3 linked regions of the Rhinolophus ferrumequinum genome follow. The protein of the gene in region 3 interacts with the protein of the main gene of each other region in a pairwise test. Links are inferred from orthologs where the notes say so. Each region holds a gene or a part of one and is shown on either strand. Other genes may lie near its edges.

Region 1 (3,823 bases), on a different chromosome or scaffold from region 3:
GGGACAAAGTGCCAAGGGAGCCGGTGTGCAGGTAGGGCTGCGTGGAGGCCTTAAACCCAGTCCGGAGTGGCTGGGACTTGGTCTTGCTGCTGACCTCCACAGCCTGGTGGGCGGGGTAGAGGCACTTGGCTGTCTCTGTGACCAGCTGGGCTTGGGACTGTGCCTTGGTTAGCCCGGTGAGGAGATATGCTTGAGACTGGACTCCTGTGGCCAGATGTGCTTGGGATTGTGTCTTGGTCAGACATGTGCCAGGATATGCCAGGGACGGGGCCGTCGTCAGCTGAGCAGGTAGATGTGCCTGGGGTGGGGCCTTGGACAGACATGTACCCAGATATGCCTGGGGCAGGGTCGCAGTCAGTTCTGTAAGCAAATGTCCCTGGGCTGACGTGGTGGTTGAACAGGTGGCCAGCTGTCCCGGGGGCGAAGACTTGGACCCAGATGTGCCCAGCTGTGCCTGGGGCAAAACCACAGCTGTTTCTCCAGGCACATATACCTGGGTCTGGGCACTCACAACATCTGTCCTCAGGCGTGCCTGCGATGAGACCTTGTTTCTGTGCTCAGCCACTTTTGCCCAGGGCTTTGCCCTGGGGACTTCCACGGCCACACTGCTACTAGACTTGGTTGCCGTTTTCACCTGTTTCTGGGAGAAGGCCTTGATTGTGTTGGGTTTCCAAAGAGGCCTGGCTGGAGACTTGGGAGATCCAGCCCCCAGATGTGGTGGGGGGCAGTATTTCATCTTTCCCCCAGTCAAGTATGAATGGGACGAGATTTTAACGGTCTGTCTCGCAGTCACCACAGCCTTGGCCTTTGGTTTGTTCAGACACGTGTGGGACAAGGTATTGGGAATCCCAGCTGCCATGACTGCTGGAGGTGAAGCTTTCAGATTGCCAGCGGTGGGAGGGAGCAGGCACAGCGTCCTGAGGATTGTGGCCATTGAGCGTAATTGGGCTGGAGTCTTGGTGATCATGGCTGCCAGACGCGTCTGGGGAGGGGTCTTGGTCATCGAGGCCCCTGGGAGCGTCTGAGATGGGGTCTTGGCTATCGTGGCTGCTGGACATGTCTGTAGTGGGGTTTTGGCCATTGTGGCCGCCAGGCGCATCTGGGGTGGGGTCTTGGCTATCACAGGCCCTGGGTGTGTCTGTGGTAGAATCTTGGCCATCACAGGCCCTGGGCATGTCCGCACTGGGGTCTTGGCCATCATGGGCACCGGGCACGTCTGGGGTGGGGTCTCTGCCATCATGGGCCCTGGGCACATCCGCACTGGGGTCTCTGCCATCACGGGCACCTGGCATATCTGGGGTGGGGTCTTAGCCATCATGGGCACGGGGCATGTCTGTGGTAGAATCTTGGCCATCACGGGCCCTGGGCACGTCCGCACTGGGGTCTTGGCCATCATGGGCACCGGGCACGTCTGGGGTGGGGTCTCTGCCATCACGGGCTCTGGGCTCATCTGGGGTGGGGTCTTAGCCATCATGGGCACTGGGCATGTCTGCACTGGGGTCTTGGCCATCATGGGCTCTGGGCTTGTCTGGGTTGGGGACTTGATAATCGAGGTCAACAGGCATATCTGGGGTGGAATTTTGGCCATCACGGCAGCCAGTCGTGCTTGGGGTGCCGTGTTGGTCATCGAGGCTGTTGGTCGCATCTGAGCTGGGGTCTTTGTCACTGGAGCCGCCAGGCACGGCTGGGGTGGGGTCTTTGTTATCATTATCGCAGGAGCTGGACATGGCTGGGTTGGGATCTTGTTCAAGATGGCTGTCAGGCATGACTGGAGTGTGGTCTTGGCCACTGGGGCTGCTGGGTCCACCCGGGGTGGGGTCTTGGCTATTGTTGCTGTGGGTGCTGGGCACGGCTGAGTGGGGGCTCTATTCATCATGGATGCCAGGCATGACTGAAGTGGCGTCTTGGTCAATACAGCTGCCGGATACATCTGGGGTGGACTCTTGGTCATTGTAATGGGGGGCACCGGGCACGGCTGGAGGGGGTTCTTGAGCATCACAGGGGCTGGGCCTGGCTGGGGTGGGGCTTGGAGAACTTCTGCTTCCACAAGGGCCTGAGTCTGGGTCTTGTGGGGTCCATGAAAAACCTGGGCATACCGTTCTGATTGTGGTGTGCCCGGGGCTCCTGCCTTGTTGGCTCTGGCAGCCACTTGCTTGGTCTTTATCGTGTCCCCTTCTCTGTGGACAAGATTGGCACTTCTGACCGTTCTTGTCAGCAGGCATGGGTAGCGCTTTGCCTCTGGACTCACTGGACACGGAAGTCTACTGGAGATAGTCTGGTCTGGCAGGAAAGTGATGCTGGGGCCACCAGGGGCACAAGAAGCCTGTGGAGCACCCAGGGGCTGCTGCGGGGCCAGCTGGTGGGTGTAAGCAGCCAGGCTGTCAGCAGAAGGGAACTGGGTCTCCTTACTCACCATGATGGGTGGGGCGGAAAGGCTCCTGTCCTTTTCTGAATGCTGGAACCGCACTTGCTGGGGCGGGTGGTAAGGGATGTCCCCCTCATCCGCACTCACTTTTTTCTCTACCGCTTTGCCAAACCGGAGGAGGCGCCTGGTGTTGAAGCGTCGCCAGGCCTCCTGAATGGCCTTAGCTGCCCGCATCTGGGAGATGAGCTTCTGCCGGAGCCGGTAGCCCTTCCAGTTGGATTGGATGAGCGTAGCTGCGCGAGACAGAATTATGTCCATCTCGTCAACCAGGACATTCTTGAAGGCCTGGCTCTCCACCACAGCCCGGAGGCGTGGGGTGTGGTGAGGCACCATCTTGTCTGGCTGTTGCAGGAGGGTCTCCCTGGATGCAGGTGGCTCATGCTGGGGATGCGGACGTAGTGTTCCTGCTTTGTCTTGCAGATTGGGGACAGGCTGGGCCTGGGAGGAGTTCTGCCCGCTGGGTGACCACTGTAATTGTGTTGCTTGCTGCATTGTCTCGGTTCCTAGGTGGATCAAATCTGCCTGTGGGAGGTGGCAGGGAGGTGGTCAGGGAGTGGAGTCGTGCAGAGAAGAGGGGTTCTGGCTGGGACGAGCCCTCACCCTGGGGCCTAGATCTTCTTGTTCCTGGCACCTTTGCAGGCCCTGTCTACCCTGGCCTGGCCACCTCCTCAGGTGGCTTTTGGTATCCATGTATTTTTCATCATCCTGTGGCCACTTCAACTCTGGTGTGTAGTACGCATTCTCACCTACTCAATGCCCCAGCACTTACCTGCTTTTCATACTTGCTCTGTGTCTAGAATATGTTGTGAGGACAGCACTGACTGCACTGTCTGGAGAATGTGTGTGTGTGTGTGTGTGTGTGTGTGTGTGTGTGTATGTGTGATTGTTATTTGCCTCTTCTCATTGACTATGAATTCCCAGAGGGCAGGAACCAAGTCTGAGTCATTTCTGTGTCCTCGTCTCAGTCATAGGGTTTGGCTCCAGGCTGTGAATGGGTAGGTGTTGGGTGAGGGGCTAATTTGACTAACAAGTGAGTGGGTGAGTGGATTGGAAGTTGTATGGATAGGTGGATACATGACTAAATACTGAATGGATAAATCAGTGGATGAATGAATGGTGAATCAGTTGGAGGGATGGATGAACGGTTGAGTGGAAGAATGGAGGAATAAATGAAGTTGATGAATTTATGAACAGATCAATCAATAAATGGACACATGGATGTATAGATGAGTGGATGGATGGAAGGAGGGAGGGAAGGAGGGATGAGTGGACGGATGGATGGATGGATAGATGGAGAGATGGATAGACAGATGGATACATAGATGGGTGAAATCTGAGTAGATTAATGGGTGTGTGAATGACGAGATCTAAAGGAATTGTTGAAGAGACCATTGGTGG
Region 2 (3,600 bases), on a different chromosome or scaffold from region 3:
AGTAAGTGAACAAAGGCAGGTGTACGATAATGAGTCTAGTTTAAATGTATGTGTACACACACACACACACACACACACACACACATGCCTATCCACGGAAAATTTCTGGAAGGCTACCCAAGAAAGTTGGTAATGGCTAGCTCCATATGGAGAATGGAATTGAGTACGTGAGGTGAAGATTCACTTTTCATGATATAAACTCCTATACTGTTTGGAAAAAAGTGTGTGTGTGTGTGTGTGTGTGTGTGTGTGTAATATAATATACTGGTATCACGTGTATAAGTCCTGTTAACTTTCTAGGCGATGTTCTAAGAGTATTCTTGCTAAGTGGTTTGAAGATAGAGGAACCAAAAGTCCTATTCTTGTCCCCAAACTTAGAAAACAGACAATCTGATTATGTCTAGAGTTGTCAAAATGTGGAGGCAATGTGTGAAAAAACTAAATATGCTCATCTTTCAGAAGGAGATCAACTGAGATGTATATACATAAGTACAGCTAAAGAACTAGGTCAGCCTCCCACCAGGCCAGTCCAAATAAAGCAGCAAGGAAATGAGCTGTTCACTCTTCTCTCCTTGGAGGGCCCAGGGGTGCTCTGTACTTGAAAAGATCCGCAGAACCATCCCAAAGCCCTGGGACTCAGGCTGGCTCCCAAACATTCTGCACAGGGTTTGACCCAAAGCCTCGCCAGGTCTCTCAGGCTCCAAGCTAGTATTCCACAGCATCAAGGAACCAAAGTAAGTATGCCTGAGTACAGAGGGCTGGCTTGAACAAAGGAAGTCACTTAAACATCTTCTAGCCTCCTGTCCCTGGGTCCCTCTGCCCGACGACACTGTGTGCCTTTCACTTTAATATTCTGTTGTTTTATAAGACACATTACCTTCTTTTTTAAAACTTCTCTTTTCTTTCCCACATTTCAGGCTCTAATGAAAGGATGTTTCACTACAAATTCCTGAGATGTGATGACACAGTCTTTTTGCCATTCCGTCCCAGGCATCTCAGCCTGATGTTCAGAGAGTGTCTTAGGGAGAAACCAAGATGGTGGGCAAGGCATAGGCTCTCATATATATATGACTTGATACCCAGGGTGTGCAGCGTAACAGTCATTCTAGGCCCCCAGAGAGGGAAAATCACTGGCTCTGAGATATTCTGGAGCCAAATATTCTCGTAGTGGAATAGGAGTTGGGAATGGGTCTCGATGGGAAGATGGCAGGAAAGACTAGGGGCTGGGTACTTAGTAAGGATGGCAGACGGCAGGCAGACAAAAGGTGGGTCCCAGGCATGGCTGAGGGATGGCCGGACAATGAGCCCACTGCTTCTCCCCAAACATGCTGCCCCAAGAACTTAAAAGGAAGCATTTTCGTGGTTAAGTTAAAAATCACTTGTGTTCAACACATTTCCTCCTAATTTCTGATACAGATGAAGAAATGAATGTTCACGATGTTCCTTATAGCAGCCATGCCTACTGAGCCAGCCAGCTCTGATCTATTCAGAGTTTTTACTTTATTTGCAAGGGGGGTGTGTGTGTGTCTTTTCCCCTTACTCTCACTGAAGTTTGTCCCATTTTGTAGATTACTAGAACCTATACCTCTGGCACAGGGCAAACAAGAAAGCCCATTTATAAACCATTCTGGCTTATGCTGCTTTTCTTTATGAAACCAGTAGCTAAAATGATATCTATGAATTTGATTAGTTCTGCTTTGCCCCGTGACCACATGTCAACCCAAACTGGTTGCATTTCTGGGACATAAAATTTCTTCTCTGCCTTCTCTCTGCTTAAGTGACCTCAATCCTTTTTAACCCGCAGGCCCCTTTATTGACTAGTCTGGAGTGGGGGACAGGTGTGAAGTTTAGTTGGGGAGGATTCCTAGTCTCCTGCCCTCTAATTCTGCCCCCAAAAGATGGATGCGCTGAGCTTTGCCTTAAATACAGATAGTTTCACTGTCATAATGGACTTTTCTCACAGGGTTTATTTTTTAATGTTTCATTATCTCAATGCTATTTTCTCCAGATTTTCTATAATGTTCTCAAAATCTGAAACTCCGAACTGGAATGTACTCTAGCAAACTGTTACACAGCCTGGGGAGGATCACCTTTCTCCTAGTTTCTAGGGGTCTTCTTTCCTCTGTCCATGCGCAGGCTGTCCTCTCCAGCCTGCAGAGCAGCTGCTGACTCACGCTTACTTTGGGATCTGCTAAGCCCCCAGCTCATCTTCTGCCCTTCAGCCAGGACAGCCACCACCCAGCTCATACAGCACTCTGCCCATCACCTGGGAGCTCAGCTCTGACCTGATAAGAAGTCTCCCACAAGTCTGCAGTGCTTCACCTGGCCCTGGCCCTGGCCCTTCCCCGGCCTACCTGGAAGACGTCGTTGGCACACTTGCGGCACAGGTTGTGCTGGCAGGGCAGGATCACCACAGGTTTGGAGAACATCTCCAGGCAGATGGGGCAGATGAGCTGCTTCTCCAGGTTGTCCATGCTGTGTGCATCCCCGAGCAGCGGCTTGAAACCCACTGTGAAGTTCATCCCCTCAGCGATCGTGCCTACCCTGGCCTTGGCTCTGGTCCTGGCCTTCCCTCACTGCCTCAGAACCCTTCCTCTTTTACTTTACACAGTCTATGGATTCTTGTGTTCCCTTTTGTTGCTCACTCTTGAAATAGCTCTGCTATCTCTCCTGTCCCTTCCTCTGACAATTCGCCTTGTCCTTAGGCAGCCTCTTTCAGACACTTCTCGTCTCTCTCTTCTTTGCTCTATACCCCAGCCAGGCACATGCAGTTTTCTCGTTCCCTCACTCCCTGCGTGATTCTGTCCCTGGAAATTTCTCCCTTTGTTCCCCAAACGACTAGTGTTCACTCTATGGGCAGCACTGTTTATTCCTCACTCCCCAGGGAGGAGATTAATTTTAACGTGGGGGTGGGGAATAAGGGGCATCTGTGTGACATTCCAACTCCCAATTTAGCTCATGTAAGGCGAGCCACAGCTGTCACCGAGTGAGTGACCCTGACTCACTCAGGCATGGGTGGCTCTCTTGAGCAAGAGCAGGGGTGAGCTTGACTGCTCGTGGTGAAAGGTGGGCCAGCAAAGGCATTGGGCTCTCACTCGCTCTCTCACTCAGAAGGCTCCTGTGCCCTCCTGACCCCCATCATCTGGCTCGGGCCCTTCTTCCAGGGCAGTGGCACAAAGTCAAACGGCATGACACAGTCAATCAGCATACATGGCTCAGGGTCGAAGGACAGATCTTGCCAGACCGACAGACAGTCATTGAAAATGTCTGCCTCCAAGGATTAGCCAGTGGCCCTCTTCCTCTGAACCCCGTGATTCTGTACAGGAGCACTAGCAACTAGAGAGAGAGGCTCTGGTCCAACACTTCTGGTCCACTCTTGTTCTCACCCAGAACTTTCTTAGATCACCCAAGGAAAAGAAGCTCAGAATGCTAGAGCTGGCAGTTGTGCCAGGGACGACCTCCTGAGCATGCTCCTGAGAAAGTGTGGGACTCTGGTCCATAAACACATCACTGGAGCCACTCCAAGGACTTTAGATTTGTCAGGAAATTGAGAGAAGCTGAGCTGGGCAGAAAGGACCTGAATGCCAGGCACCTATTTTG
Region 3 (3,823 bases):
TTTGAGAGTCTACTTTCAATTCTTTGAATATATTTCCAGAATTGAGATTGCTGAATCATATGGTAGTTCTGTTTTTAACTTTTTGAGGAACCTCTGTACTCCTGAGGTTTTTTTCCATATTGGTTGCACTGTTCCCACCAACAGTGTACAAGGGTTCCAATTTTTCCACATCCTTGCCAACACTTATTATTGTAATGGCCATTCTGACCGGTGTGAGGTGATATCTCATTGTGGTTTTGATTTGCATTTCCCTGATGATTGGTGATGTTGAGCATCCTTTAATATGCTTGTTGGCCATTTGTACGTCTTCTTTGGAGAAATGTCTATTCAAGTCCTTTGCCCATGTTTTAATCTGGCTATTTATTGTTTTGTTATTGGGTTGTAGGAGTTATTGATATATTCTGGATATTAACCTCTTATCAGATATATGGTTTGCAAATATTTTCATTCTTGCCTTTTTGTTCTGTTGATTCTATTGCTGTGCAGAAAATTTTAAGTTTGATGTAGTTGCCACCTGTCTATTTTTGCTAACCTTGCCTGTTCTTTTGGTATGACTGAACTCATTAACTTTTACTTCTCCTAGAGCCAGACTTTCATCAGGATAGTCTGGTTGTGACTTTTGCCTTCATTTCCATCTCGGTGCTCGCTAGTACATTGTTGAATGGGGTGATGCCTAATTACTATTGGTTCCCTGATGGGATACACCCAGAGCTACCATAATTTTTCTGAACTTATTCCCATGCACAGTAATTGGAGGCTTCTGTGAGACGGGGCTGTTTCCTCCCATTTTCTAGCTTCTTTCCCCTTCATCTCCCTTTTTACCCCATGTTAGGAGCAGAATCTCCTCCGGGCCTCCTCCTTCTCCCCTCTGGTGTCCTTGTGAGTGGGTCAGTGGTCTCTGAGCCAATGACAGGTCAGCTGCCAGGCTGACTCCAGACCAATGAAGTTTCTGGGCTCCCGATGAACCAATTAGCTTATTAGGGACATTGAATACCTGGATAGCTGGCATCTGTCCCATTGTTCTCTTAGTAGGGAACCTCTTGTTTTGTCCATCAAAGATTTGAGCGTGCAAATGAAACCTTTTTTTTTTTTTTAATTTTGGTGGCTTTATTCCATCCCCACAACTTCTGCCCAAGGCCAATAAAACACAGCCATTCTCCTTTCGTAAAAAGAAAGAGGGGTTGGGTTTCCTTCAATTGTCTGCCTTTTTCTGTCTCCTCCACTATTTTTGTTTTACTCTGTAGTTAACTTTGCATAGAGCAGCTTCATCCGGGGACCTGTGCGGTGGGCCTGGGCACTCTCTCATTGCCAGTTGCAAGGGTCTTTTCCGTGTTCCAACCTGGGGGTTTGTGGGACCAGGGGCTTGGCGGGTGGCAGAAGAGTTGCCTTCTGTATTTCACACACATTCTGCGCTCTCTCTCCCTCTCTCTCTTTCTCTCTCTCTCTCTCTCTCTCTCTCTCTCTCTCTCTCTCTCTCTCTCTCGCGCGCGCGCGCGCGCGCGCGCGCGCACACACACGACCGCTCAGCACCTCTCCGTGTGTCTTCCTTCAAGATGACAGGGCGCTGGAGAAAAGGCTGCTGGAATCAGCTGGTAGGTACAGTAGTAACCCGAACCCCACCCACCCGCTGCCTTTGCTTGGTCAGGTTTCTCCCGTCACTCCTGCCTGGGGAGAAAACATGTAAACGCGCCTCCAGAGGAGGGGCTGGGGTAGCTGGGAGCGGCGGGGGAGGCTGAAGGTGAGGCCGGGAAGGTGGCCGAGAGCCCCCGCTGCCGGGCCCTTGTCCGTGCTCCCTCTGGGCGTCAGCCCCAACCCTGTTGGCCCCCACCCCACCCCCTTTTCGAAGGGATTGCTTTTTTTTTCCCTCTGCGGCGGCGGAAATGACAGTGTGGAGCTGCCGTGGTGTCATGGTGCTGCCCCTGGACTGAGGGGGCGAATCTAAAACTCTTAAGTTTGGAGCGTCGCGACCGCCGTGCTGTCCCTTGCGGGGCGCGCGGGCGGGCGGATCCCGGCTGCTGCGCGGCGGCAGCAGCGAAGGCGAAGGCGGGCGGCGGCCTAGAGCGGCGGCAGCGGCAGCTCGGGGAGCTCGCGCCAGCGTCGGAGCCGGAGCCAGCTCGCGGCGGAGGGAGGCGAGCGCCCTGCGCCCTGGGGCGCGCTGAGGAGATGGCCGGCGCCCGGGAACGCTCTGGGTAAAACGCGCCCCCTCGCCGCGGCCCCCGGGGGCCGAGCACCCCGCCGGCGCAGGGCTCGGCCCCGGCTCCAGCCGCCTCTCAGGTGCGGCTGGGACCAGCGCGGGCCGAGGACTCCGGGGCTCTGCGGGGCAGGGTGACGGGCCCCGAGAGGCTCGAGGCGGCGGCGGGGGCCCCGTCCTGGCCCTGACTCCACGTTGCGCCGTGGAGCCCCGGGTTCCCGTCGCTGCTGCCCTCCTGGGACGGAGTTTTCACTCCGGGTTGCGGGCGGGGGCGGCCCGAGGCCTCTCTCACAGCCGGGCCGGGCCCAGCGCGGCCAGTGGAGCGGCTCCTTCCCACGAGCGCCTTCCCACGCTCCCGCGGCCGGCAGCCTCCTCGGCCCTGTTGGCGCCCCTTGGCCGGCCGTCTGCCCGGCGGTAGCTGGTGTCGCAGCCCGATATGCTGCGGACACCCTGCCGGCGGGGAGGCCCGGCGAAACTTAATCCCCTTTCTGCCAGGGGAGCGACCCTTGAGTCTCCGTCTGGGTGGTTCCTTATTTCTGGCCTAGCTCTGAAAGCAGCTCAGGAGGGAGAGGGGAAACTTACATAGGTCCATTGGATAGACTGCGACTGAATCACGGAGAGGTGGGTTTTTTCCATTCCTGGCTTGTCAGAATTAAGTAAATAACGGTGGAGTAGATTTTCAGAAACACTTTTGGTGATGATAAGGTTTAGGTTACTTAGCACTTCATGCGCAGCACATTATTTCTGGGAGACATTTCTCAGAGCAGGAAATTGGGATCCTGGGGTCGGTGGTTCTTCACTTTCTCTCTTCTACACTCTCCTACAGCCTTCACACTCACGCACCTTCCTACAACATCATACACCTACCTGCCCACCCAAATCTCCCCCCCCCACCCCGCCATCCCACAGGCCCTTTCCCCCATCAACCTGTGTACTCCCAGCCGCCCAGCAATGCAGCTTCTTGCTTCTCAACCAGTTTCCCTATTTCAGGATTTCTGAGTGTGGGGTCGGTGGGTAGTGATGGTTGTGTGTCTCCGAGGAGGAGCCCTTATAAAAGAATATATTGGAGACTATGTAAATAGACAAGTACTGTGTGTGGGTTGATTCCTCCGATTCTCAGGTTGGGCCATGAGGGCTACCTTTAACCCCACTCTGTTCCTTCTCAGTATCAGTTCTCTGGCCATGTTCCAATAGAAGGGAAAGGGTGAAGAGAGGAGAGTTCCTCCCCTACTCCTTGCTCTACCCCGAACCATTACATCCCCCCTTTCACCCCTCTCCACTCATGACTGCCTGAGGGGGAAACAGTCTTTGCTGTTTTATATATTCCTGTCCAATCAATTAACTTAATGCAGATATATAATGTGAATTAGATTTTTCCTGATTGTTCCTCACAACTTGATTTATGTGGTTGAAATAGAGGTCTAGGAGCTAAGAAGATCAGAGAGTTGTCCCAAATCTGATGTTACATTGGCCTGAGGACATTCCTATGACCTTTCTTTCATAGTTGATGCATTTGTGTAAAAGGCATAATATAGTGTACTGGGGTTTTGTGAGTCGTGACTTGGTCCTTTGAAGATAATAGGGTTCTGTAAACCCTCAGCACTACACATTTCAAAGAAAGTGCTTCATTTA

The links.
Region 1: the proteins of MID2 (region 3) and IQCN interact in binary tests that used the Homo sapiens proteins (3 or more experiments, as listed by UniProt). The two-hybrid records come from large-scale screens. The link is inferred for Rhinolophus ferrumequinum from reciprocal best matches to the Homo sapiens genes MID2 and IQCN.
Region 2: the proteins of MID2 (region 3) and TRIM54 interact in binary tests that used the Homo sapiens proteins (3 or more experiments, as listed by UniProt). The two-hybrid records come from large-scale screens. The link is inferred for Rhinolophus ferrumequinum from reciprocal best matches to the Homo sapiens genes MID2 and TRIM54.

The regions. Positions count from the first base shown.
Region 1 is NC_046301.1:51,087,701-51,091,523, forward strand, and holds the start of IQCN (IQ domain-containing protein N), read right to left. Parts: upstream 2,918-3,823; coding exon 1,972-2,917; intron 1,918-1,971; coding exon 1,607-1,917; intron 1,217-1,606; coding exon 1-1,216. UniProt on the Homo sapiens protein: Essential for spermiogenesis and fertilization. May be required for manchette assembly in elongating spermatids.
Region 2 is NC_046296.1:53,402,484-53,406,083, forward strand, and holds the start of TRIM54 (tripartite motif-containing protein 54), read right to left. Parts: upstream 2,876-3,600; 5' UTR 2,523-2,875; coding exon 2,355-2,522; intron 1-2,354. UniProt on the Homo sapiens protein: May bind and stabilize microtubules during myotubes formation.
Region 3 is NC_046284.1:46,734,589-46,738,411, reverse strand, and holds the start of MID2 (probable E3 ubiquitin-protein ligase MID2), read left to right. Parts: upstream 1-1,484; 5' UTR 1,485-1,592; intron 1,593-1,657; exon of another isoform or gene 1,658-2,274; intron 2,275-2,793; exon of another isoform or gene 2,794-2,812; intron 2,813-3,823. UniProt on the Homo sapiens protein: E3 ubiquitin ligase that plays a role in microtubule stabilization. Mediates the 'Lys-48'-linked polyubiquitination of LRRK2 to drive its localization to microtubules and its proteasomal degradation in neurons.